2 linked regions of the Coturnix japonica genome follow. The protein of the gene in region 1 purifies or fractionates together with the protein of each later gene. This does not show direct contact. Links are inferred from orthologs where the notes say so. Each region holds a gene or a part of one and is shown on either strand. Other genes may lie near its edges.

What was found. Proteins that work in one complex are often made in the same cells at the same time.
Region 2: the proteins of LRCH3 (region 1) and SUGT1 purify together in Homo sapiens (co-immunoprecipitation; 3 studies listed by BioGRID and IntAct, counting the BioPlex papers as one, with this or other methods). This does not show direct contact. The link is inferred for Coturnix japonica from reciprocal best matches to the Homo sapiens genes LRCH3 and SUGT1.

Annotation. Positions count from the first base shown.
Region 1 is NC_029524.1:13,148,117-13,158,943, forward strand, and holds part of LRCH3 (DISP complex protein LRCH3), read left to right. Parts: intron 1-827; coding exon 828-908; intron 909-1,617; coding exon 1,618-1,689; intron 1,690-2,549; coding exon 2,550-2,598; intron 2,599-3,055; coding exon 3,056-3,169; intron 3,170-3,793; coding exon 3,794-3,912; intron 3,913-5,072; coding exon 5,073-5,210; intron 5,211-7,212; coding exon 7,213-7,290; intron 7,291-9,039; coding exon 9,040-9,240; 3' UTR 9,241-10,827. UniProt on the Homo sapiens protein: As part of the DISP complex, may regulate the association of septins with actin and thereby regulate the actin cytoskeleton.
Region 2 is NC_029516.1:148,378,414-148,389,240, reverse strand, and holds the start of SUGT1 (protein SGT1 homolog), read left to right. Parts: upstream 1-1,145; 5' UTR 1,146-1,246; coding exon 1,247-1,275; intron 1,276-1,364; coding exon 1,365-1,410; intron 1,411-2,956; coding exon 2,957-3,046; intron 3,047-4,300; coding exon 4,301-4,371; intron 4,372-4,708; coding exon 4,709-4,779; intron 4,780-10,206; coding exon 10,207-10,260; intron 10,261-10,827. UniProt on the Homo sapiens protein: May play a role in ubiquitination and subsequent proteasomal degradation of target proteins.

The DNA of each region.
Region 1 (10,827 bases):
ACAGTGTAACTCAGTCTTGTATTACTCAAATCCCATTTGCCATTCTCGCTACAGTACTCTCATTGCAGTTGGGGGTGCTTGTTAATACAGCATCAAGGCTTCAGTCCTGGGGTAATGATTTCAATCTTGACTGCTTTTGAATCTCATCTTTCCCCAGATAGCTTTTTCTCCCTTCTACTACTGTACGTTACAAGGTGAGTCAGTGGGAGACAGGTACAAAAGGTACCACTATTGTTCACACAAACTGCTTCTCAGTTTGTCACAAAGCCTGTGAAATACCCAGTGGCACCAGGCAGCTGCTGTGACCTTGTTGTGCAACACTCATGTCACTGCTGCTGTGGGCTGCCTCATGGTCTGAAATGTGACCTGGGACCATCATCACAGTTAATACTGGTATCTCTGAGACATTGTGCGTTCAGCCTTTTGGGCACCAGGAAGCTACAAGTAATAACAGCGTGAGTAAAGGAAGCACGACTTGGATTATGCTTACTTGTGCCCTGGAGGTTTCTCTCAGGCAGTTGCCATCCATTTGTATGCTCAGACAACTGACAATCAATTTGTTGTAAAGCAGCCTTATTTTTAGTTAGCGTGGAGTCACAGCTGGGCTCTGTTTTGGCATTCCCTCTATCTAAAGTTGTTTCTGGCTGGGGACGTTTCTCTAACTTCATTGCTAGACCTAGAAATGAAGAGCAGCGTGTGCAGTAGTGTGTAAGTCTGAATTGCAGCACCCTGATTCTTCTTATATTGCAACTGCCTTCTCTTACAGTTATTCTTTGCCTCACTTCTTCCTCTCTTCCCTCCCTTTCTTTCCTCGCTGTCCCTGACAGAATGGCTTTGAGCCTCTCTTTGTGTTTGAGATTGACAATAACACCAATACCATTAAGAGAAGGCCAGGGACTCGCAAACAGGTGAAGAGCATGCACTGTGTTGCTGTTGTGCTTCTCTTACCCTCTGTGTGCTGTGTTCCCCCCTTTGCCCAGTGCTGGGTTTGTGGATCGTGACTGCTGCCTGTTGGTCTGTGTCAAGGTTGTCTTGCTCATGTTGTACAGGTATAAAGTTGCATTGCTGTCACAGACCGCCACCACTTGCTTTATTTTGCTTTTTGCTATATTAGCTGATGTTACATTTGCTGAAATAATGTTTTGTAAAGCAAGCAAACAAAAACAGCAAAAAAAAGTTAGCTCTGCACTGCTGCAGAGGAGGCTGTTCTGAGGATCAGCTGCTGCCTGTGTGTGGCATGAAGGTGTCTGTGTAAGGTTTGCCCTGTTTGTAACATCTCCTTCCATGTGTAATTCACAAAGACCAGCATTAGGTACTGGTGGCAGAACAAACGTGTGTCCTTTAGCTTTGCTTCTGATGCCACTTTGTGCTGTGTAAAAAAGGAAAGTTTCACCTGCCAAACTCATTAGCCAGAAAGTTCAGGAGGACAGGAAAGCTTTAACCTTAGTTTGAAAAGTAAATACCTGTTGTGTCTGTCCTTTGCTTTTTAAGTGTTTCTGAGCACGTAACCATGATCACCTCCTCCATCCTGACTTGGCTACTCAGTTCTACCTGTGTGTGTGCCCTACCAGCTGCTTGCTAACACTGCTGCTGCCTTCTCTTTCTTTCTGCATTCAGTCCCTCTCAGGGTTGAATCAAGACAGCTGTGCTACTGCCCTGCCTAACACCTCTGCCCTCAGTCCTGCCAAGGTATCTCTTGCTATTATCATTCACCAATAAATCCAACAAAAAACTTGGGTCCACACATCTGCTTTTACAGGTGTTGGTATGTCAGCTTCTGGTCAGAAGTTCAGGTAGGGTATGAATCTGATTTACCTGGTTAGATTGTAGTAGCTGTGACCTCATCTTAGCTTCAGGCTGTGTCCAAGCTAAAAAGCATGGTAACCCATCTGCTCCAAGGGGTTCCTCATTGGCTTTGATGTTGCTTTTTATTTACAATATGATTTTCTCGTAACCAAGCTGAGTTTATCAGAAGTATTTCTTTTGCATTCTTTTCTGGCTTGCTTTTCCCACTGAGTATAGGCGTCCTATAACTTTCTTTTGTGGCAGCTGCTATTCTGAATGAGACATTGGTCTGTGTTTTACTGCAGTGCTTAAGTACGTTGTATTTCACTAGGGAAGGGGATATCCAGTGAGTTTTGCATTGTCAGAGGTGTCATAGAGGCTCTGTATTCTTATCCATGCTGCTGTTATGCAAGTTTTGCATGTTTTTTAATCAGCTGTTTTTGCTGTGCCCCCTCTGCAAAGAATATTGAACATCTTGGTGAGAAGGAGGGATAAACAAAGAGAGCATTGTGCTGTCGGTGCTGCTTCACCACTTCTTCCTCAGAAAAGAGTAATTGTGGCATTTCTGCAAAGGAAAAAAAAAGTTTAGCTGCTTTCTGCAGAGATGAGACGAACAACGTGTTGTGTTTTTCACAGCTGGCTCTTTGTTCTGTAGTATGTTTCAATGGATGATGCCTCTTATCAGACACAGCAAATAGTACAAACGTAGTCACAACTTCTTCCACATTAAGACCATTTATGCTCTTCTACTTTTTTGCCTACAGAGCGATGACAGATCCACCATCTCTCCTGGCTCACCCACCACTCAGACAGGTAACAGGGAAAGGAAGCAAAGCTGCTGTAAAACAAGGTCAAAATATCTGCCCGCACATTTGTGCTATGAGGAGAAGGGAGCACTGTGTGTGGCACTGCTGTGTTTGAGAGCTTACCCTCTTATTTGGGTCTCCTTGAAAACACACGAGGGGAGAGGCAGCAGGGCTGGAGCGTGTCCTCAGGGACAGTGTAGGCTTTGGCCCCCAGATTCATTCAGCAGCAGTCAGAACAGTTGTTGGAAGTGGTATGTGGAATGTGCTTTGCATGGCAAGTGTCCTTGAAAGTGCCTTTTCCTGCCCTTTGCTTTTATCATGCATGCACGTAAATTATTTTGTCATGATATTAAAATTTAGTTTGTTCTTTTTAATTACCACGTTGCTGAACCCATTTCCTATTTAAACTCTAACCGTTTCCTTCTTCCTCATTTCCTTTCCTGTGCCTTCCCACATTTGTTTAGTCCACCTTTCCCCTCCGCATCCTGGTCATGCAGCCCTGCCTTCCTATAGAAACCCTTCCCAGCGACCCGAGAGTTTCCTTTTCCGAGCAGCTGTCAGGGATGAAGCAAACAAAGGTAGGTTGTGTAACTCAGCAATGAGCTCGTTTTGCATTACGTTTTATTAACATCGGCCTTACCCAGGTTTTTCGCTGCTCTGTTACTTTAGGTCATTATCAACAAAGTATTTTAGGGTTTCATTTGTAGCCATGTGGCATTATAAATACTTGTGGAATTAATATTGTAATTGTGAAAAGTTGGGAATCTATTCTTCTTGGTCCTTGTCCTTACGCCTAAAAAATAGCAAGGAAATGCCACACAGGCCTTCAACGAGTTATAACGGCAGCTCAATGGATTTTGCACTGTGTGTAGCAGCATAAGACAAAACTGGAAAGTCTGTGGAAAGCCTGAACTCTTTCAACATATTTCATCTGTCAAAACTTTGTCCTCTTTTTTTGGGAATGAAATGATTAGTAGCCAAGAGAAACAACAAAATCTAAGGGGAAAAGGAGATGTATTAGGAAACACCTCATTTAGATTAGCAGGTCATTAGTTTGTTAGGTTAATAGGCTTATTAAAGAAGCAGATTTGTGAAAAGGGATGCCCTGTACCCGTTCTGGAACACTGTACATGTGTAATGCAGCAGATGAGGGCAGTCAGCCAAACCATACTTACCCATTGCTCTTCATGCTGTTTTTTCAGTGGTTGCTTCATCGTCTTCCCGTGCCTTGTCTCCTGCTAATGATTCTGCAGACACCAGAGTTAGGCAGAGCTCCAGGCAGCGTGAGGAGGAGCTGGAGCTGATAGAGCAGCTACGTAAGGTAAGTGCTGACAAAACCAGTGAACCTCTCAGTCAATGTGTTGTGTGCCAGCATGTTAAAGCTGCCCTTGTGTTCTGGACTGATTGCACTGAACCAATTATGAACCAATTATGGTGAGGAGTTGACCGAAATGGAATAGCGCTGTGCAATCTGAGTGTATCTTTCTGATGGATGCAGTGCTGGCTTTTATTGTGGATAAAGTTAGATTCAGCTGCAGTGAAATACACAGCACTAACTCCTGCTTCTGACTGGCTAGTGATCTTTGCTTTTAGAAGGATCACATGCTTTCTTCCCTATCGCCCTTCATGCTTGCAGGGAGTTCCCTCAGTGTCTTTCTTTCTTATCTCTTTCTAAAAATTCACCTTTGCTGTAAAGCCTATAGAAAAGCAGGTGGCACACAGAGGCTGCTGCTTTCCTTGTGTGCTGTGAATCTACCTGTTGGCTCTCACTTTATCTTCAGTTAATTGTAGAATATCTGTGGCAAAAATATTCCCTACATTCAGGCTTTTCGTTTGTTGAGGGCCAGTATGCCCTGGTTTGTGCCCATGACAGTGGCTAATATTGAGTATGCCACAGGGCATTAAGGTACTGCTCTGCTTTGCCTCAGGCAAACTTGCACTGTCTGTGGAGGGATTCCTTGAAGTGGTTCAGCGCTCTGAACTTTCTCAGTAAATGAGAATTCCTCTTTCTAAAGCTGATTTTAAAAGCCGTAAGCATCCCAGATAGCCAGGAAGCTCATTTCTCTGCAGATTGTCAGAGTAAGGGTCAATCTGCTCTCTCTGAAAGGAGAAAGCTCTCTTAAGTAAAATGAAACAAAGCTCAGCTTTAGTCTTTCATCTCTTATCTCGGAATGCTTTACATGCAGTCTCTCTCTTGTTCTGCTTCCTAGGTAAGATTAAATCTTTTCTATATATAATCCCCTGTGCTGTGCAAAGAAAACTGTTCATCATTGAACTCAAGGGCTCCCAGATTGTGTTCAGCTCTGGCCCAGCGCAGTGCAGAACCTGTCTTGGTGTTACTCAGAAAGCTGTTCTAAACAGTTTGGTGAATAAGCAGGGAGTTGTAACACAAATGCTTCTGCTCTTATAAAATGTTCCACAGACTGAAACAGTCAGAGGAAACCAGCACTTACTTTCTGTGTCCATGTTCATTTTGCACAGAATATTGAGTCACGGCTGAAAGTGTCCCTGCCCAGTGATCTTGGAGCAGCTCTCACCGATGGCGTTGTTCTGTGCCACCTGGCTAACCACGTCCGTCCTCGGTCTGTCCCGAGCATCCACGTCCCCTCACCTGCTGTTGTAAGTATATCAGAATGACAGTGTTTTGTCGGTGTCCAAAACCCTTCCAGCAAAGATCTGTAATCCATGCAAATGTGTAATTCATTATTTTCCTTTGTGAACATACATGACGACTGTTCTGTCTGTAGAGTATCTGCGGTTTCATTTAAAACCTTCTTACTTCTGATTCTCTGCGTTATTTGGGATCCTGCTACACAGAGCAGCAAGAGCAAGCAAAGAGGCCAAAATGATTTTTGTATCCATTTCACAGCACTGCAAATTTCTCTGCTTAGGAGTGTCAGCAGAGCACGCTTGAGCTGTGTTTTCACATGCTTGGAGAGCACCACCGTCTCCTGGAACAAAGTAATCCACTCATATGTTTGTGATAACAGGAGGGAAAAAAGTTTGTTATATATGGGGGCTGTTCAGAGCAAGGGGAGAAGTTCAAGAGAAGTTGGGCAATGGAGGAACTTGTTCCTCTTACCTGACTGCAGTGTTTTTAAGGCAATGGAGTTGATACGTTACTGTGTGTTATTGTTCTGTATCATGCTGGGAGAGCACGGAATTAAAGTGAGATGAAGAGCTGTGACACAACGACAAATTAATTACATGATCTGTCAGCCAAATAATTAACGTGTATTTTGCTGTCAGAAAGTTCAGTGAAAACGTTTAGGATCAGCTACCTGTAAATACAATGGAGAGACAAACTGCTCGTGATGCACCTTCACATCATCTTAACATTATACAAACGGGGAAGAAGTCTTTTTTTGCTGCGGGAAGAGTTTAAAACAAGCACATTGTTTGCTTCTACTTATTTTGGAGTCAGTCCTTGTGTTGGTTGGAATTTGAACTGGCACTTACAGGGCTGTGTACTGTATCATTGTGGTTCCTCCTGCTTGGAATTATGTGAACAAGGAGATGTCTTCATTATTTTGAGAACGACTGAGCTGGACACGCCAGTATTTTAGGCAGATTGTGGAATCGTTAAGAGAAATGCAGACAGCTGCTATTCAACAAGACTTGAGTTGTCAAGAATATCTTCTCAATGGCCTGGTTTTATGTGCTGTGAATATTCTGAGCTACAAGTTAAATCATGGCTTTGTCATAAATGTCACAGAAGAGGCAGCCTGTGGCTGGACGGCTCCAGCAGCAGAAGAGGCATCGTGTCTTTCCTCAGTCACAATGTGATCTTTGTGCTCCCTCCATCCTGCAGGAGAAAGAAAGCAGCAATAGCCTTTAACCTGCTTTCTTGGTGAGGAACATAGCAGGCTGAGGGGGCAGAGGAAGAGCCCCAACCGTCTGCTTTCCCCCCTCTGAAGGAAAAACACTGAGTTTGCAGAGGCTGCTGCTGCGCACATTGTGGGGAGCTTGTGTGAAGGAACAGGAAGCTCGTGTCTCTTTAATCAGAAAAGAATAAGCTTCGGGAACAGAAACAAGACAGAGCCTGTGCAGTGCTAGTTCTGTGTAGAGGTGAGGAAGCCAACTACGCAGAAAAAACTTACTTGAGAAGTGCCAGTGAATTCATCTGCAATAGGCTTGTATGCAGCAAGTCGCTGTGCCAGTTGTATTCCGTCATCTTCTGGGTTCATCTAGCCTTCATTTGGTATCTCCTCCTTAATTGAAACAAGATTTTCAGTATCTTTTTAATGTAGCAACCCAGAATGGACTCCAGGTTGCTTCGTATCATTAAATTGTGCTGAAATCACAGCACAGGTGCTACGTATGTGTATGTTTCATTCGGTATATCTTAAATTATCACATTGCAGTCACTAAAAGTGTTAGCCTGTTTTATGTGTATCAGTACAGTGCAGGTTAGAGTTGTCTTAAGAAATCATCCCGTATTCATAAATTGGCTTTTCAGAAAGCTCAGAACTTGCCTTTCTGAAGCAAAGTGCAGCACAACCTGGTTTGAATTATACAAACTTACTGCGGTGTGATATTTTTTGGCAAAGAGTTTTATTAAGAGTTCCATTAAGATACAAAATCCTTCCAATTAAGAGCACCTTGCCTGCTTCTTTTGCAGCCTAAGCTTACAATGGCGAAATGCAGACGGAACGTGGAGAACTTCTTGGACGCCTGCAGGAGGATCGGGGTGCCTCAGGTACATTTCTCTGCTGTTCTGACGTTGTGGTGCAGATGTGATTTTGTAGATGATCAGGAAAACAAAAATAGAACATTTCTTGAAGCGTTTGATGAAAGTAAGGTGATTCAAAGTTTAGAAGGTCCACATGCGAGTTATGCCTTACTGTATAGGTAAGACCTTGCGTTGTCTTTTCTGGTAAAAAGAAGCTGGGTGTAGTTAATCTCCCAGAAGTCTGATTCGCTGACTGCTGTGCCTTAAGTTTGTAACAGCTGGGTGCAGCTTGAGCCTGGCTTTAGAACTGCAAGGTGCTTGGTAAAGATGGTTCAGTTTTCTCAATATTAGGTATTTGGCAGCTTAAAAGTGGGATAAAATTTGGATGATATTTTGCATGTGTGACTTCAATTCCAAAGCATTTGATGTTCCTTCAGAATAATCCTTCTGTGTGAACATCTGTACCATCTTGCCAAGGAGTCTCGCTGTTATTGGCCTTTCTCTGACAGTAGCTGTCTTTGCATAGATCCTCATTCTTTCTGCCATGTACTAGAGGTAGAACTGGTTTTCTTTCTCCCCTCTGAAATGGGTCCTGTTACTGTGTTTTATGCTGTCCTGTCCTTTCCACTTTGTCTTATCCAGCAGCTGCCTCAATACAAATGATTTCAGTAGGTCACGTTTGTTCTTTATTTTTCTTCTGGCGTATAAATGTGATTGGTTTCCTACACAGCTTTATACATACACAGTGTTTCTGTTGTAGGTGCTGTTTTCATATTTGTGCATTGTGAAAGGGAAAAGTAGACCCAGTGGCTCATTTCCCTGCTGTTTCTAAAAGCAGTGCTCGCAAGTCAGCAATGCTGATAGCTTCACACAAAGGCATTTGAGCCAGTGGGATTTTAGGATAGTGTATTTGTTGAGCTGCCCAGCAGTTTCACATGACTCACTGGTGAATGGTGTTGGAACATGGTGGGAAGTCATAAGTGATCATTCATGTTTTGAGATGATATTTTAGTCCTCTAAGAAACTGGAGCCTGTGACTCCCAGCAGGACTGTACAGTATAAATCCTTCTGGGGCACAGTGGTTCAATCTCATTGCAGCTTCCCTGTTCACAGCTCCCTTCGACACAGAGATGTAATTTTTTATGGGGTTTGAGTGCAGAGCTGTTCTCTGAAATGTCACACATTTAGGAACAAAAAGAAGAGCACTCAGGCAAAGAGTCTCCTGTAGACCCAGTCTGCTCCATCTACTGCACCTTCTGCTTAGGATCCTCCTGTTTTTCTCAGTTCTCCTGCTTTAATGTGAAGGAGTTCAGGGAGAATGTCTCTGGGGAAACACACTGAAATACCCCCAGCTGGATTCTAAAGCTGCTCTCACATGTCTGCATTGCATGTCTGCTGAGATGAGAAGGTCAGATATCAGTAAGGAGGAGCGGCATGGCAGCCTATAATGTATTTCTGCTGATGCCTGCAGCTATTTCTGTTTGTTTAAATTCCAGTTACAAAAACGAAGGGCTTTCTGGAAGTGTGGATCTATGTAGAAATACCTCCTAAGAGGTATTAATGGAACCTGTATGTTCCAGGCTGAGCACTGTGTATCTGCATTGGGCGTTCTTTGAAATGGGACTTGCACAGATTGCTTTGTGAGATATAACCGTGTTACGCTTCTTGAACATGTAGCTGTATCTGAAATGTCTGACGCTGCTTAGTGGATGTTGCTATGGCTAACTGACCTTTTTTTCTGTCTGTTTTCCCTTCCTGCTTACACACTCTGGACAGGACAATCTTTGTTCCCCTTCTGACATTCTTCAGCTAAACCTCAGCGTTAAAAGAACAGTTGAGACTCTTCTTTCCCTGGGGACAGATTCAGAAGAATCCAGTCTTGTCTCCCTTTCTGTTCAGCTCTGGGGCTTTGTGGTGTTTTACTGTACTCTGATGCTAACGCTCTGTATGGTCTATCGCTGGGTCTTTTTCCTCTAGCTGAGGGACAGTGCTGCTGTTTCCTCCCTCCATCGCTCCAGTTCTCTGTAAAGGATTTTGGGTTTTGTCAAGACCGCGTGTACAAAGTGCTTTTTCTCACTGATGGGAAAGAAGCAACAGAGGTGACACAGGCAATGTGTAAACACATTGGTGCATCCACACAACCATGTGATGTAACTCACGCTCGTGTTTACTGTGTGATGTTGAGCAGATGTGATGCTGGGGGAGGAGGTGCTGTGTGTGGGCTGGAGCAGGGGGCTGAGCTTTAGGGCCACGTAGGTGTGTGCTATGGGCTGACTGCTGGCAAAGGATCTAGCACTGGGAAAACTGCACTGTCAGTTTGTGCCTCAGTTTCCCTGTCTGTATCATAAGAACTGCTCCCAGGTTGGTCAATTGCTTCGGGATTTATGTGATGAAAGAAGCATTAAACAACACAATGTATTTTGAACATCAGTGGCCTTGATTAGATCTCACAGTCTTAGAGACGTGGTCTGATCAGCTTTGTCCACAAGATCCTGGGATTGTTTTCCTCAGATCCCAGCCCCATATCCCAGCTGCTGAGAGGACCTGACCTTCCTGTTGGTAGAGTCCCATGTTTTATGTGTCAGTCCAGGGTTTTAAAGTAGCTGTCCATCAATCCTGAGCTTCTTGAGCTTCATAACTGATCTAAGAGGAGATGTGCAGAGAAACTGAACTCCCTGAAAGAAAACATTTCTGGCACAGAAGGAAGAATCCTTTGGGTTCTGTCAGATGTCGTGGGGTTGCCACAGCATTTTGCTGTGCCCCGGATAACACTTAACAAAGATTTCCTGTGTTGCCACTCAATTGTGGAAGCCTCAAACCACACTTCTTCCTCTTCCTATCTGCTTATTTGCAGAAACCTTGCTATCACACAGTTGTGATACACGACCTGGCTGTGTGTTCAGCTCCCTCTTTACTGTTACACAGATCTCAGGTAGTTCTCTACACAGCTTTAAGCTTTTCCCTCCTCTGGAGAAGCATCCTGGTGCTTTAATGTGTTTCTCAGGGACACCTCAGGATTCGAGGGCATTGCCCACACCACGTCTGCTCACAGTGTAGGTTGGTTCAGGGAGCTCTGCTCAGTGGTAGGTGCAGGTAAGTGCTGGTACCAGGCCTGTTCTGAATGGGACTTCAGTACCTGTTTGTTACACATGAAGGTGCAGTCGGTGTTTTGTAAGCCCTGTTTAAGTGCTGATGGCATTCCTGCATTAACCTGACAGCAACTCTGAAGCACAATTTAAGCTACACGGGAGTTTAGTTGCAATTATAGTCACTGCCAGTAAAAACGTCTTACGTGTACGTGGAGCTCACAAGCTCTTGTAACATAAAGTGAGTATTTAGCAAAGGAGCAAGTGGAGGAGCTGGTGCCCTCATCCCAACCCACACTGTGACTGGCACAAAACATTCTGCCCAAGCAAAACATGATTGAGGAAAGAGGGGACCTTTGGTGAAGGGGGGGGTCTGTTTCTAAATAAGCTATTTCTGCACTGTTTACTGGTGTGAACTAAAATGAACTCTGTTCTGTGTTTCTTATCTTCTTCTAATGAACACTGTGATAAAAGCTTC
Region 2 (10,827 bases), on another chromosome or scaffold:
AGTGGCCTTCAACTCACAGAGAATCACAGAATCACAGAATTATCAAGGTTGGAAAAGACCTAGAAGATCATCTAGTCCAACCATTACCAATACTTCCCAGCTAAATCATATTCATCAACACCACATCCAAACATTTCTTGAACACTCCCATGGTCGGTGACTCTACCACCTCCCTGGGCAGTGCATTCCAGTGCCCGACTACCCTGAGAAGTAATACTTCCTAATGTCCAGCCTGAATCTCCCCTGGCGCAGCTTAAACCATTCCCTCTAGTTCTATCACTGATTACAGGAGAGAAGAGGACAACCCCCAGCTCACTACAACCTCCCTTCAGGAAGTTATAGGGAGCTATAAGGTCTCCCCTGAGCCTCCTCTTCTCCAGGCTGAATAATCCCAGCTCCCTCAGCCGCTCCTCGTAAGGCCTGTGCTCCAGACCCCTCAACCAACAACTCCTCCTTTTCTATCACTTCCTAATATGTTATAAACAGCCCCATGTTTCATTGTGATCTTGGGATGTCGTGTAGCTCAGAGAGGTGTTCAAGACCAGGTTGGACAGGACCCTGGGCAACCTGATCTAGTAAATGTGTATGCTTGGTGGCCCTGCCAGGCAGGGGGGTTGGAACTACATGATCCTTGAGGTCCCTTCCAACCCGGGTCATTCTGTGATTCTGTGAACCTCACTACTAATGTTCTGTCACTGGAGGTGGCAGCAGCTCAGTCTAGTTGAATGGAATGAATTAAAGCCATCTCACAAGCAGTTCTCAGCCACAGTTTGGCATCTAAGCAGCCTTGCTTTAGCTCACTGCATGGCTCCATGCCCTGCCCTTCCATGCTGTTATGTTTTGACCTGCAAACACCCACAGCTGTAATCCCATTTTCGGGAAGGGCTGGCCACCAGCTGGAGGTTTATCTGGCAGAGCTCTCCCTGCAGCTGGGCCGCGCTGGCACTGCTGCTGGTACATGAGTCAGCACTGTGTGATGTGAGGTACATCTCAAATGAGAACTTTCTATTTCAGACGGGGACAGGCAGCCATTTCCATCATGGCGGACACCCAGCGCATGCGCACCGCGCTTTCCGCCATCTTGCGCGCCGCTCTGTCCCGACAGTCCTCCACACACTCTATGGAAGGTTGCGTGCCTCCGTAGCGATGGCGTGGGCGGGAGGAGCTTGTGGCGCCGCTTGGTCCCGTCAGGCCACGCGCGGTGGTTGCGGCCTTGTGGCGGCTCCAGAAGTTTCCTGGGGGAGGGATGGCGGCGGCTGCAGAAGCAGCGGCTCGGTGAGCACCCAGCTCAACACCCCGCTCCTTCCTCCCTGCCCGCTCCTTCTTCATCCCCGCCTCCTCACGGCGTTGTGTTTCCTCGGCAGGTTCTCGGACGCGGACATCGATCGGGATCCGACGGCGGCGGCGCGGGTGAGAGCTGTGGGAGGGAGCTTATAGGGGGTCTTATAGGGGTGATGCCGCATCGCTGTGTGTAGGGGGTGGTTCGCTGTGCTGCCCTCTGTGTGTGGGGCCTGGCTGAGGTCTTGGGTTTGGTACAACTGGCTGCTCATTATCTGTGTTTTAACAGTGAACGGTGTGGGTCTGGGCAGGCTGGTCTACAGGCTGCAACCCTATGGCGGGGGGGGTTGAAACTGCATGATTTTTGAGGTCCTTTTCAACCCAGGCCGTTCTGTGATTCTATGATGATAAAGCCATAAGCTTGTGAGGTGAGGGTGACGGAGCACTGGAACAGGCTGCCCAGGGAGGTGGTGGAGTCTCCTTCTCTGGAGATATTCAAGACCCACCTGGACGCCTACCTGTGTGATGTGGTGTAGGGAGCCTGCTTTGGCAGGGGGTTGGACTCGATGATCTCTAGAGGTCCCTTCCAACCCCTACAATTGCCTGTCAGCTGCCCTGTGGCTGACTGTTCGAGTTGCTGTAATGTATGGTTTGTTTGGAGGAGTGTCTCAAAACAAAAGTTGTACTTCACTTCTCAGTGTTCCGTGATCCTGTTGGGTCTCCTCATGCTTCTCTTGTCTAGAATATCTGTCTACCACGAATGATGTCTGATCTTGAATGTATCCTTAATCATGTCTTTACAGTCAGATCTAGTGATGCTTTTTGTTGTAGCTCTTTCTGCCTCCTGTTTCTTCAGAGACCTCTGAGGTTTTAGATGTTTGTGCTGTACTTCTATGGAGTTTTGTACACCTGATGCTGCCACTGGAAGAAGCTGTTGTGGCCACGTAGTTCCTAGTGTAAGCATATAAATGAAAGAGAGCAGGATACCAATCTGAATTCAGACAGGCCCTGCTACTTTTCCTTTTTTCTCTGGCTTGGTGAGTTCTAGCAGCTGTGTTGTGCTAACATTTGTGCAGGCTTAAAGTCTATATCTTAGCTACCCTCATGCTTGCCAAATTCTGAATAGAAATTGAGCAAAGTTAGCAAACATGGTAACCGTACTGTTACTGTCTCACCCTCATAGCGAGGTATTTTTTTCCCTTCAGATGTGCTGAGAATTATAGGAAGGTTTTTGGAACATACAGGATTACCTGAGCATTCAGATTCCTATTTAAGGCATTGATGTTAGGGGGAAGTTCTTTTCTAGGAGATGTTAGCCTGGAAGACTGCAGGGAGGTTTGTGGATCCGTCCTTGGAGGTTCAGACAGGTTGAGCGCCCTGGCACCTTGTCTGTTAAAAGTTGTATGTTTGGTGGCCCTGCCAGGCGAGGGTTGGAAATATGTTCCTTGAGGTCCCTTCAACCGTTTCTGTGATTCTGTGATGTTCCCTTTCTGCAAGGAATAGCGTGTGTAACTGCAAGTTCTTATGCCTCAGTTGGCGTTAGCTTTCAGGTAAAACTGTCAATTAGGTCCTTCAGTGAGCTGGTCCAGGGTATTTTTTTTCTGACATCTTACTTGACAGAGTCCATTTTTAGATTATTGGGATCTTCCAAGGGTGCGGTTTCGGATTTCTTCACAGAGAACTGACAAGAGCTTTGGAAAGGAGTCCAGATGATGCCGAATATTACTGTCAACGAGCTTATGCCCACATTCTTCTACAGAACTACACTGTGAAACATCTTCAGGCAACTGACAATCCTCTTAAGAGGTCGTATTTGAAATTCTTTATAGTTTAGATGACTAGCTTTTAACAGTGTTGCTGTTAACTTTAGTTTGCTGTTTGCAGTTAGGATGTACTCGAGAGCCTTCCTTATCTTTGATTATTTTATATCTGCAAAACTTGCAGCCGAATCTGATGCTCTGCAATCCCAGTTGCTGTTTGAGTTTAGCACAGAACTGTCTTGGAACATTATTTTCAGGTTAGATTTTATGGTGATTTTAAGCTTTATGTTGTAAACTCTTCCAACCTTACATGCTCTTTTTGGTAGACACTGAAATCCAGTTGTGGTAGGAAGGTGATAACCTGCCACCCAGGTGTTATTTGGTTAACTGAATTAACATTTAGCCTAAATTGCCTGTCAACAATTAAGCAAAATAAGTAGATAAATCAGGCATCCTGGCTTGTATCAGGAATGTGGTGAAGCAGACTAGGGAAGTCATCCTGCCACTGGACTCGGCATTGTGGGCCTCACCTTGACGTACTGTGTTTCAGGGGGGCTTTGGGCACCTAGCACAGGAAGACATGAGGTGCAGGAGAGGTCCAGTAGGCAGCGAGGCTCCCGTGAAGGCTTGGAAAATCGACCTCAAGGAGAGGCTAAGGAGCTGGGCTGTTTAGTTGGGAAAAGGGCTGAGGGGAATTATCGCCTTATTCGTACCTTAAAGGTTTTAAGTGAAGAGTGGCAGGGTCTCTTCTCACTGGTGCAACGAGAGGGAAATGGCCATCAAGTTGCGCCAGGCATGTTTAGGTTGTGATTTAGGAGACTTCTGTACCCAGAAGTGTTAGGTACTGGAATTAGGCTCCCCAGGAGGTGGTTGACGCATCCCTGGATGTGTTTAGAGCCGTGTTTGGATGTGATGCTCAGGATATGATTTAGCAGAGGGTGTTTATGTTAGGGTGTGTTGAGTTGATGATCTTTCAAGGTCTTTCAACCTGTATTCAGTTCTATTGATGGGGTCAAGTTCGACTACAGTAGAGGATCTGACAGAGTGAAAGTCACCACTTCATCTTTTGTGGAGCTCTATAGCTGATTGAAGACTTCATCCATAGCATTGAGTGAATTAAATTCAGACAGTTTAATCTGTATGCAGGCTAAGAAAGCTAACATAATAGTGATATATATATTTTTGAGGCGTACTGAAATACTTGCATTTCATTGCTTTTCATACCGTTATAATGATCTTCACCTGTAAACTGACTTCCAACAGATGCAGTTGCAGATGCAAAGAAGTCCCTAGAGCTCAACCCCAGTAATGCCATAGCACTTCTTAGAAAAGGGTACGTATCATATGTGGTGCTCTGACAGTATTCTGATAAACTTCAGGACAATAACAGTATTTGCATTATTGCTCTATGGAATGAGTGAATTCCATGCCATGCTGCTTGTAACTCCTTTGTAATAAAGCTGTGGTTATAAGATAAAATGGATCTTTTGGTGTGGTTTGTTGTTTTCTTTGGAGGGAGGGGTGATGATGTTAACATCCCAACTATTCAAAAAACAGATTTCATAGGTGATTTAAATTCCAGCACATGTGGGGATGTTGTAATCTTCAGGATGTGAATTAGATTAGAAAGTAATTGCAGTTTCCTTGTGGTTTTTCTTTCTTCACGTCAGGTTAGGAGAATACCATATCAAAAACTATGCATCTGCTTTAGAGTCTTTCAAAGAGGGACAGAAGTTGGACAGTAAGTATTACCATTTCTTGTGTGCACAGCATTCCTTTGCTGATAAATGAAATTCTCTTAACGTATTAGCTGAAAATGGAGACCGTGTTAGTTGTTGGCTTTTGGTTTTTTGAAGGCTTAGGAATTAGGTGCCTGACTTGGGATACCTGGATCAGGTCTGACTTCTGGAGAGACTTGTGCAGTTGCTACATTTGGTTGTCTTTAAGAGCCGTGTGGATGTGGTGCTCAGGGATATGATTTAGTGGAGGGTTATTAGAGTTAGGGTTCTGGTTAGGCCGTGGTTGGACTTGATGATCTTCAAAGGCTTTTCCAACCTGGGTAATTCTATGATTCTATGGAAGTGTAAAACTGCTTAAAAATGCAAATGGAAATTTTAGCTGGTAGTGTATCATTTTCTTGCCTTGCAGAAAGGGGGTGTTTCCCTGTTTTCCAATTCCTCTCCATTGGTCTTGCAGGTAAATAGTGGCAATGGTGTGGCACTAAGCATCACAGGAAGGTTTTTGAGCTGAATTGTGTGTAATTGGGATTTGTAGTTGTTAAACTACCTGATGGGCTGGCCTTCAGAAAGGGCATACAGCATAGTGAGCATTCAACCTGACAGAGTGGATTTCAGCTCTCACTGCATAACAGAGGCATGTGTATGAGCTCTTTAAGGATATAAAGTGTTGGCAGTTGGAACTGCACACATTATCTGGGGGAGAATTAGAGCTTTCTAATAATATGACTTCCTTCTAGAAGCAGGAAAGAAATAGTTCAGCATGGAAAACTTTGGTGGAAGACCCTAGGAAGCATATAACAAAGTAATTTCTAGATGGTTACAGTTCCTTTATCTTTTTTCCTATTCCCCACACCAAATAAAATTCACCTCATTCAATTCCCTTTCTCAACAGCAGAAGGAAATCTTAAAAGCATCTTGAAAGGTTACTCAGAGCAAAGTGCACTGCTCTGATAAGCAATGTCATCATCTGGGATCTTTCAGTTCTATCATCCACACCGATGGCTGAGGCTGAAAGCTTTAGCGAAAATGGAATTGCTTGTTTGGGAGAGGCAAAGTAATCTGCTCCTCTGATCTAAAAGTGGAGTTTGATGGGGGTATAACTGGTTATGGTTCTTCCTGATTGGTGATTGTGCCCCCTCCCACTCTTATGTATTTGCAGGAAACTCATATATGTATATATGGTAGCCATGGTAATGGGAGGACAGTTGGACTCGATGATGTTGTAGGTCCTTTCTAACCTTGTGATGCTATGATTCTAGAAAACCTACCTGTTCATGTGTTGTTTTGCTGCTTGCCCAGTTGAAATCCTTCTAAAGCTTCCCTGATTGCTTCTGATTGCTTCTACCTCTGAAGCTTGCTTCTAAATGTCCTTCAGCATCGCAGGATTCTGTGACCTGGTGTGAGATGAGGGAGGTTCTTGGAGGCTTTCTTTAAAGCATAGATTTTTAGCTTTCCTGTTTTCCAACTTGCTGGCAAATTTACTTTCGAGGTTCTGTGGAGATGGTTGATGGCTCCCGGATGACAATAATTGTGAATGGAAGCATTTTGGCAAAGCAATTAACTTCCAGTTAAATGTAGGAAGAGTAAAACGAGCAAAGCTCAATGGGGAAAATTAGCTACGTATTGTAAGGCAGGTGATAAAGAGAGCAGACTGAGCTGTTGGTGCCTGATAGAGAATTGCTGCAGCAGGGAATTCTGTGCAGGCAGGGCTGGCTTCATTGCCACACAAGGGGGCAGACGTACACCATTACATGCCTCTGTTCCTTGCTGATGGAAGGTCTGCTGTTCATCTTGGGAATGTGATGTGGGTTTTAGGACAAATACATGTGAGAAATTTCATTGTGACCACCTATTTAATTTAGTAAAGATGGAATGGGTTAAATTTTTAAAGCAGATATATGTCCGAGTGAAGACTAAGGCTCTCTGAAAGTTATTCATAGTGTTGTTGGTAAGTTCTTTGAGAGAATAATTGCTGAGAGGAAAAGTCCTTCCCTCAGATTATGATGTGCTGGGATGCATGAGAAGAGGCAGATCTTCTAGGATAGTAGGGCTGGATTTTTCTGCTTGTATTGCATGGGCTTGTGGTTAGGCCCTGGAACAGGCTGCCCAGGGAGGTTGTGGATGCCCCGTCCTTGGAGGTGTTCAAGACCAGGTTGGACGGGGCCCTGGGCGTCGTGTTGGGTCACCTTTTTTCCTGACCATGGCATCTCTTTTGTGTCGTCTTTTTTCCCCTGCAGGCCTCACAGACAGAAGCGGTAAAGGTGTTTTTCCGTTAATATTGTTCTTGAATCATGTCTCAACATGCTTGTAGAATTCAAGTGCCTGCCTTTACAGCTTGTAGGACTGTAGGCAATGACATTCAAGTCTGGAAATTAACTGTGCGGCTCATTCAGGTGTTTTAACTGTGGCAAGTCCTGTGGTCACCAAACTCATATCAGCTTCATCTTGCTCCAACTTTCACGGCCGCTCGAAATGGTTTTTTCTCTGGTGGCCTCACCATGTGGGTTTCTGCAGACTTTTTTCAGCTGTACCTCAGACAAGTATATTTTCTAAATTGATCAATCTTAAAAAAAAAATGTCAAAATTGACCTTTTTTGAACGCCCAAAATGACTCTTTGCCTTTTAATATAATATTATATATAACTAAATGTAATACACTATCTTAGTAATTAGAGAGAGGGAGAAACTGTAACAGAAAATAAGGTGGGGTGTATATTAAAGACATACGATTTTGAAGGGGTTTTTATGTTTATTAAAAACTCTGCTGTTCGTTCTCAGACCTATTTTCAGGTTTACCTTTGTTGGACTCACAAGATGAAGCAACACGGGCCTGCTGTGTGGTCCCTTTTCAGGCTCTGTTTCTTAGCCAAGGAAGGAAAGAAATTTAAAAGCTTGATCTAGTTGTTATCTTCCAACCGTGTGGCTGTGTAATCTGGTAAGAGACACTGAGCGTGTGCGGTTGTCAGTCTGTAAATGGTAAACTTTTAAAGTCCTGTCACAACGTAAGTGAAGAATCTTCTTCTTTCTTCCATAAGTTAATGCACATACAGAAGAAATGTGATCAGTATGAAGATGATCTTGTATCCTTGTTCTTATATACTGTATCCCCTTAAAAAAAAATTAAAACCAAAACCTTTGAAATTTGCCCCCCTCTTCTATATTAACCCTTCATCTTTCCAATGCCAATATGCTTCGTCTAGAATACAAACAGCAACCTCTGTCATCCAAGATCAAGTAAGTTGACTTCAAGTATTGCTTGTGAGAAACTAAAATAACTGTCTACCTGTTCTTTGCTGGACCTGGGGCATTGGAGATACAAGATAATGACTGTAAAAATTCTGTAGACTGCCACTTTGTGAACGTTTCTTCTGAGTTGAGTTCTGTTCCTCACACAGTGTCACTGACTTTTGTTCTCGCTGGGGTGGGTGTGAATTGGAGTTAGTAACAATTCTACGCTTTCTGTTTTCTGGTTTATGAGCTTAATTCAAAGACTTGGCTCCATTGAGTGGCCCTTAATGTAGCTGTAACTGAATTTTGGGATGCTTTAAGATCCTGAAGTTCAAAAACGTGCTATTTCTAATTTATTCGAAGGCAGGCTTATAACATAATGGTAAGCTGATCCAATTTTCATAAATTCATTGATTAATCATTTTCTATTCAAATTTGTAACTGCTCTGCCTGGAAGGGGGGGGGGGTTTTTTGGGGGGGGCCCCTCCCCCTTTGGGGTTTTTTCTTTTTCTCTGCCCTTGCTTTGAACTATGCAATGCCAGCGTTCCTGCTTTCACTGTTGTGTGGGGGAATTGTGGGTTGTGGTTGTTTGGTTTTCTTTACTTGCTTTTAAATCATTCTCTAGAGCAACTATTTTTTCTTTTTTTTTTTAAAGGTAATGACTGGTACAAAACCAGAATCTCAAAGTAATTGGTTGGACTATCATGATCAAGATTGCGCAGAAGGATGGTGTCAGAGTGCAGTTTCTCAGAGAAAGAGGTGATTTATGCTATCGATAAGCAAATCTCTAGATTCCATGAGATGTAGTTCTACCAAATGATACTCACTTCTATTAAAAGCATGAGAAATGCTAGAAGCTGACTTCAGCTTTGAGCATCTTACATACAAGTTATGCAGTAGCTACCATGTATGCAGCACAAGTGGATTAGTTGCTATTTGCTACAGTGAGGTCTAATAGGACTTTACTCACAACATGCAGTGTGGCAAATACATGCAAGCAGAGGGAGCATCTGCCTTTTTCAGCATGCTTAGTTGAGGAAGTAGATCTGAAGCTCAAGTGTTTGATTGCGTATCTCTGTCTGTTCATACTTCCCAGAAATGCATTGAGCGGTACTCTCAAAGTAAGTTATATTAAAGTTCTTTACTGGGAGAGTGGGTTACGTCCCTTTGACTCTGTTTCCCTTTGCAGTGGGTAGCAATTATATGACACGCCTTAAAATGAAAGAGTTGAGGTGAATGCTTTGTAGAACTGCAGTGGAGCCACATTTTGTTTTGCGTGCGTGTTTTCTATTGGCTTTCTTTTAAGCTTCTTCAGACCCTCTGCAGGGAAGTTGGCTGCATGAACTTCCTCAAGGTGAATTCCAGCTATTGTAAAAAGATGGCGGCTTATCTGTACTTATTAGTTGGTCATTGCTGCAGCTTTATTTTTTTAAGCATTCCTGCTTGTGAAGGGTTTTTCTGGGAATAGTGTTGAAATGATGCACGCTCTGCTACCTTTTTAGCTGTTTTCCAGTGAGTTCATTTCCTCCTGGGAGCTTCTTCCTAAAATCATCGTGATCTTAATAATAAACTCTTCTGTGGTTTTGATTCGCAAAGTGAAATTGGCACCTACTTATTTCCAACATCCTTCTAACTGTAGATGTGCGTGTAAAGTATGTGTGAAACCACCAGGGGAAAATGCCTGGTGTTTGTGCACACTCACACCAACTGTGGGCTGCCCACAGAACATGGGGGGGGGGGTCTCTATATTTCTCTAGAGGGGCAGCATGTGATTGGGAAAAGAGAATGGAGAAGTGCTTCTAAGCAATAAGCAATACTTACTGCTTATACTCTTAGTGCTTATAAGCAATACTTCTCACTCTGTAAAAGTTACGTAGAGTTCAATTGGAAAGCAATGTCGTATATGGGTCAGTTGAGGGGGTTGGGGAGGGAGAAAGCCTAGTGTCTTAGAAATTAATTAAGTGTGTCAGAGTTAAATAGTGGAGCTGTAGAAAATTAAAACTTAATTTAAACTTAAACTTAAAAATTACCTGGAATGAGAGAGTTGACATGAAAGTACTTGGAAATAATACCATGATTTAATAAATCAATGTGAATTTGGGATGAATTTGTTCCAACTTGGGAGTTGAAAGGAACTGTTCTTTATGCATTGAGTGCATTACTCAAAGAGTTGTAATGCTAATGTGTTTGATCTCTTCTAGATGTAGATGATACCTTTACAATTTGGATTAAAAGATGTGAGGAAACGTTGAACGGTAAGAGAAAGCACATATACAAATTACAGGGTTTGATGTGTCCTGTTATATGAAGCTGTTTCATTTCTTTCTGAAGGGTTACTTTGTATTTAAACCAGAATTTTTATGTTTAAAAGGACGTTATGTTTTCTTATGCCTTGTTTCTCTTGCTTACATATCCTGAACTCCTCAGACTTAGGTGAGTATGCAGTGAAAGTTCAGACAACTGATTTTAACTGTTGAAGCATGTGTCAGCTTGCTTTCTAAATGCAATGTCAACGTTATTTTCTTCAAGATTTGAGAATTTAAGTGGGAAAGAGCAATGAAAATCACTTTGATTTCACGTGGAGAGTGCCTTTGGGTACTAATTGCTGCTCTGCTGTCTTAGTGATAGTCAGTGTGCACACAGCTTCCTTTTCTATCTTTCCACAGTTTGACACCCCTTGGCGGTGAACTCACCTGCAGTGCTTAACTGCCTGCTGGTTTTAATGGGCTGCGTTAGAAGAGCTGCCTCTTTTCTTCCTCCACCTGTTGTGACTTCTCCCCTCTTTCTGTTACTTACTGGAGAATGGGGCAGTAGGAGGAATG